Nothobranchius furzeri: one gene and its partner. The protein of the gene in region 1 interacts with the protein of each later gene in a pairwise test. Links are inferred from orthologs where the notes say so. Each region holds a gene or a part of one and is shown in the gene's direction. Other genes may lie near its edges.

Region 1 (3,837 bases):
CCGATTAAAGCTGAAGACTCCAGGTGTCGGCCTCAAATACAAAAATGATTTCACACTTCAGAGTGCTGGATCTCAGGATCTATGTTCACTTTGTTCAAGTGTTTTGTCCTCCTTTAAAATATATATTAGACTATAACTGCGCTTAAAGTCCTTCAGCTGAGGGTTTCTGATTATTTCATCATAACGTAACGTAACCAGAGTTCACCTCTTAGGAAGTAGATTTATTCCAGCAGTGGCAGCTCGTTACCTAAATTACTTTCATAATATTCAAATCAACATAGAGTATTACAAAAATGTTGAGATATTTAAAGAGAAGATCATAAAGAGTTTAATGTTATTATTTCTGAAACATTCAGACATTAGTTTAAACACTGTTAGGCTCTTAACTAGTCAGTCACATAAACACAACTGGACAGACCGCTTTTCTGAGTGTTAAATAAACCAGAGGAAAGCTGCTTCGAAAGCACAGATGTCTAATCAGAGTGCACATAAAAACGTGTGTGATGTTTTTGCAGGGAGTTCCATTTCCGTCACCCTCGACGCTCCGTAACGCTCAGCATGAGGAAGACCGGCGCCATGAAGAAAGGAGGCATCTTCTCTGCTGAGTTCCTCAAAGTGTTCATCCCCTCGCTGCTGCTATCACACATCCTGGCTCTGGGGCTGGGGTAAGAGTGCCTCACATCACCTTTATGGTTGTATATATTTAAATTATTTATTTTCTTGCCATTTCAGGTTTAATTTACCATAAGGAGTGGTCTGTAGCTCAACTTTAGAGATGTTGTCTTTTAGTTGTTAGGTTGATCCAACTGTCAGTTTGTTTTGGAACAGGAAAATGAATCCCAGTTTGCCTCCAATATGTGGGATTTTAATCCAGACATGTTGTAAAATTTACTGCACTGATTTCTGATTTGCTTCAACTGAGTCTTCCTCGGTCAGAAAGAACTCTCGGAACCAACTCCATTGGTACAGTTCAAGCTGTTTATTAGCATTCTGTTCCAGTGTGTACAGATGTCCTCAATATGTGTGTGACTGTGGGTGTATAGAGCTCCGGGAGTTGACGTCACGTTTCCCGGCATGCAACAGTTCAAATCGAAACGGCGCCATATTGGCAGGCAGAAGCCGGCAGCTGGACTATTTGTTATTGTCAGAAAACTCAATTAAACAGGAAATATGGTAGATTCCTGTTGTGCCCCAGGATGCAGAACAGACGCGGACGACATAAGGAATGAGCCATCTACAGGATTCCCCAAGATCCGGAGCGCCGCAAACGTTGGATCATTGTAATAAAACGCACTAGTGACCGAGCTAAAATGAAGCTGTGGGACCCCGAGAGTAAAGGTTTTCGCTTATGCAGCGACAACTTCATATCAGGTACTTAAACCAACGTTTCCTCAGCTGTATATGGTATTTATTTTAAATGCTTTTATTATGATTCTTAGTGGGCTTCCTAAACTTATTTTGACGTGGCTTTTTCTGTCTTATTACTCATAGCAGCAAGTAAACATCACGTAAAACATTGCCTTGTGAGTTCTGCGTGCTGCCGTTTCCGTGTTTTATGATGACAGCAATTAACCGGCTAAGCTGTATTTAATTTTTAAGCAATGGTTGATCAATTGTCAGATCACACATAAAAAGCACTTTGGATTGCTATTATCTGTCTCACCGAGACTACTTACGTGTAAATCTGTTATTTGTCCGTCCATCCATCCATTTTCATCCGCGTATCCGGAGTCGGGTTGCGGGGGCAGTAGCGTGACTTCCCTCTCCCCAGCCGCCGGAGCCAGCTCCTCCGGGTAAATCCCAAGGGGTTCCCCGGTCAGGTCCGGTGTTGTGCCGGTAAGAAGCCCGCTCCGACAGCTTCTGGCATTTTTAAAAAGTATCCCAGGGGCACGGTAAGGGTCGGAGATGTTTAGTCTATTTAATTTCTGACTATATAAAACGATTTCTTCTGTTTTAAAGTGTGAAGTAAACTCCGACGAAGTAAAATCCAAGCGGATCCCGTTCATGTTCATGGTTACATCCGTGTTTGTTTACCTTTTTTGCATGCCAAAATGGCGTCTACTAACTGAGAGTCACGTGGGGTCCGGAGCTCTATACATGGGATGTGATGTGATGTGGTTATCTAGAAAATACAAATAAAGGGGAGAGAGATCAACAGACAGCAATACATGATGGTCAATCTACAACTCTATACAATGATTTTGCAACTCTAATACCATAATTTACACAACCATAATACGTCCACCAGATGGCACTATCAAGCGACAGAGACTGATAAATATCAGCTAACTTTAACAGGCTCAACTGGGCTGCATGGTGTCGCAGTGGTTAGCACTGTTGCCTCGCAGCACGAAGGTTGCAGGTTCGAAACTCGGCTGCGGCCTTTCTGCGTGGAGTTGCGTGTTCTCCCCTTGCATGCGTGGGTTTCCTCCGGGTACTCCGGTTTCCCCCACAGATCACAACATGCCCTACAGGTTATAAATTGTAAGTCGCTTTGGATAAAAGCGTCTCCTAAATGAATAAACATAAACATAAACTGGCCAACAGTTCAAAGATTGGAGACGCACCACTAATAGATCCAGTCCAGCGACTAGGATAAATAGCAAAGCAAACACACCCCCAATACACTGTAGGCCCCATTATGGCGTTGGGTTCTGTAAATCTGTACTATACAGACTAAACAGTCCACAAACGACAATAAACAACAATAGAGGACATCTATCCATGTTTATACGTGCACATACATTCAGCTCAGCTTCCATACTCACACAAGTATGCACACAGGAGGTATACACCCAGGAAACACCGACAAACACCTCAACTTTTTTCACCTGCTCAGTCAGCAAAACAGCGGGGCACACTCAGGAAATATGCTGAGGTGCATCATGGGAAATGTAGTGTGATCAATGCACCGCAAACGGGGGACTTTTAACATATGTTCTAAATATTTGTAAGTCAAATCTTCACTGAAGAGTCCCAGAGTTGACGTGGACGTCTGGAACCCGCTTTTAATCCACCTCCTTTAAGTTTTCATCTATCAGATAATGTGAGACAACTTTGGGAGGGATTGGTGTCCAGATTGTAAAAAATAATAAGATACTGTCTGTTTTCATGAAGACACGTTGTCGTTTGTAATTATGTCCTATGCCTCATGTGACCTTTCCAGATATAAAACCGGTATTTTTATAAAGCACAAGACTATTTTTCCGAACTAGACCATCAATTTGTGAAGGGCTAGAAATGAAAATATTGCCCTCTGCTACGTTCCTCTGAGAGGCTGAAGAGAGTAAAGATGGAACAGTTGATTCAAAAGATGCAACAGACAGAGACCGACTATAGTGAAATTTACTTTCATGTCTCGAGAACTCAGTTATAAAAACTCAAAGGTTATCAAAAAGTTGTCAGAGAGGACTGGATTATGTGGAAATATCGTTATTTCCTCAGACTCTATGCCATAAGTCAGCACAAGGTCTAATGCATGATGGGAGGAGTGGATGGAGCTATGTATTCTTTGGCTAAAACCAATTCAATCTAATATATTACAAAAGGCTACATTGAGGCAATCATTTTCAATGTCCACATGAATGTTAAAATCCCCCACTACAATGACCTTATCGGTATTCAGCACCAAATCACATAAAAAACCAGAGATCTGATCCAAAAACTCAGAGTAAGGGCCTGGTGGTCCTCGTCCTCGTCTTCCTCCACTTATCCGGGTCTGGGTCGCGGGGGCAGCAGCCCAACTAGGGAGCTCCAGACCGTCCTCTCCCCGGCCACCTCCACCAGCTCCTCCGGCAGGACCCCAAGGCGTTCCCAGACCAGATTAGAGATGTAACC
Region 2 (2,358 bases), on another chromosome or scaffold:
AAGTTGTGCCTCACCTGGGCCACCCCATTTTAAAAGATGTGGACACACCACTGACCAGGACCACACCCCTAAATGCATTGAAGCAACTGTCGTGATTGGTTGATTAGATAATTGCATTAAGGAGAAGTTGAACAGCTGTTCCTAATAATCCTTTAGGTGAGCGTACGCTTTTTGAGGACGGCAATCATTGACCATCCCATAATGGTAATTAAACAGACAGTGTCTTTAACTACCACCCAAAGTTTTACATTAAAATTAACAAGATAATTAAATGGCCAACATCTTCATCTCTTCAACGTGTTTTTGTCCGATTGGTCTCTTTCCCACCCTTCCAGCCCTTTTGCCATAGTACACGTTGTTTGTGTGCAGTTGAATTGTGTGAGTGCATTTGACTGAAAGGCTTTCCTGAAGTTTAAAGAGCAAGTCACCCCCAAATAAACTTTTTTTTGCTGATAAACTAAATAAACGAGTGTCTAATCGTGCTGCAGACACGTGTCGTCAATAATTTGGCACTTCAGTGCATCTTAGTTCAAATTTAAATATTCTGCCTAAAACTGGCAGTGTTGTGCCGTTGTCAGGTTAAAACTCTGCACTGTATTTTAATTTAAATCTGCCACCGCTATTGGCTAAGAGGTATGCTATGATGTAAACTGGTACATTATGATGTCACTATGCTGTCGTGAGTGTGTGTGTATTTGTTAGTGGCTCCGCCCTCTCGGTCTGCCAGGCAACAGCATGTGTTGCATTTTTCAAACATGAAGTGGGAGTGGAGTTAGACTCTGGTAGGGGGTAACTTGCTCTTTAAGCTCAGCAGTTTACTCAAAGAAAACTTGTATGCTGTTTTGCGTTTACTTAGGTGTGACTAAAGCAGACGGAGACATCGCTGAAGCATCATGAGGCAGCTCAAAGGCAAACCTAAAAAGGAGACATCTAAAGACAAGAAGGAGCGGAAGCAGGCGATGCAGGAAGCCCGACAGCAGGTGGCCACCGTGGTGGTTCCTACCCTGGCTGTAGTGGTGCTGCTTATCATCCTCTTCGTCTATGTAGCCACCAGGCCAGGTGCCATCGAGTGAATGGTAGAACTAAAACTTCAGGGTGAGAGAACATAACAGAGGCTGTACCCAAAGAATGGACCCCCCATGACACCGCTGTCCTCAAAATGCTTCAGGCATCTATCAGACGTCATCTCTTCTGCTGAGTGTCTGAACGTGATTCAGGCTGTTCTTCAGTGCCTTCGTACGTGAATGATGAGATCACTTATTTATGACATATTCAAATCTCAATCAATATTCTATACCAAAGGATATGCACAGCTCAACAAGTTTGATTACACTTGTTAAAATGTTAACAAAAAACACTGTACTTAAGTGTTAATGTAAACTTTTCTACTCAGTCATGTACAACTCGACTTTTGACAAAGTTTCCTCTTAAATCCAGCAAGATGTGGATTTACTGGTGTGAATGTTCACCCGTTTCTCTTACAGTTCAGCTAAACAGAGAATGTTCTGTTGTATCAAGGTGCCTTAACAGATTATAATAAATTACTTTTTGAAAGAAAGTTTTGTGTTTTCTTCCAGAGGTCCAAAGTATGGAACTAGGATTGGAATAATAGTACATCTAACTTGTACCAAGCTTTGTAATCTGTAACATGTTTTGTAACTGTAAATTTCGTTTAGTAGAATGTAATTCTTGTTTTGTAACACGTAGCATTTGGTACAAAACATGAAACTTTCATTTAGTAACTTGCAGAAAACAATCAATGTACAAGTTTCAAATCACAACTCTCAAAACACACATCTCAGTCTATAGTTACAAAACTCAAGTCTACAAGTACTAAACATTTTGTCCCAATTCTAGCTTCCTTCCCAAAGAACCAATGAGAGGCATTGTCTGACCAGCCAATCATGAGTCTTGGGTTCCTTTTCGAAGACAATTTCTGTTGGAAGCAAGCTAGAATAGGAACATAATGTTTTGTACTTGTAGACTTGAATTTTGTAACTGTAGACTGAGATTTGTGTTTTGAAAGTTATGATTTGAAATAGTACTTTGAATTTTTTCTGCATGTTACAAAATAAAAGTTTCATGTTACGTACCAAAATTGCGTTACAAAATGAGAATTACATGCTACAAAACCAAAGTTACCTGTTACAAAATGAAAGTTACATGTTACAAAACATGAATTGCCGTTGTCGTCTTCCTCTGCTTATACGGGTCCGGGTCACGGGGGCAGCATCCCAACTAGGGAGCTCCAGACCGTCCTCTCCCCGGCCACCTCCATCAGTTCCTCCGGCAGGACCCCAAGGTGTTCCTGGACCAGATTGGAGATGTAACCTCTCCAACGTGTCCTGGGTCGACTCG

What was found.
Region 2: the proteins of bnip3lb (region 1) and smco4 interact in binary tests that used the Homo sapiens proteins (3 or more experiments, as listed by UniProt). The two-hybrid records come from large-scale screens. The link is inferred for Nothobranchius furzeri from reciprocal best matches to the Homo sapiens genes BNIP3L and SMCO4.

What each region holds. Positions count from the first base shown.
Region 1 is NC_091746.1:40,539,177-40,543,013, forward strand, and holds part of bnip3lb (BCL2 interacting protein 3 like b), read left to right. Parts: intron 1-515; coding exon 516-665; intron 666-3,837.
Region 2 is NC_091753.1:61,339,871-61,342,228, forward strand, and holds the end of smco4 (single-pass membrane and coiled-coil domain-containing protein 4), read left to right. Parts: intron 1-856; 5' UTR 857-893; coding exon 894-1,073; 3' UTR 1,074-1,558; downstream 1,559-2,358.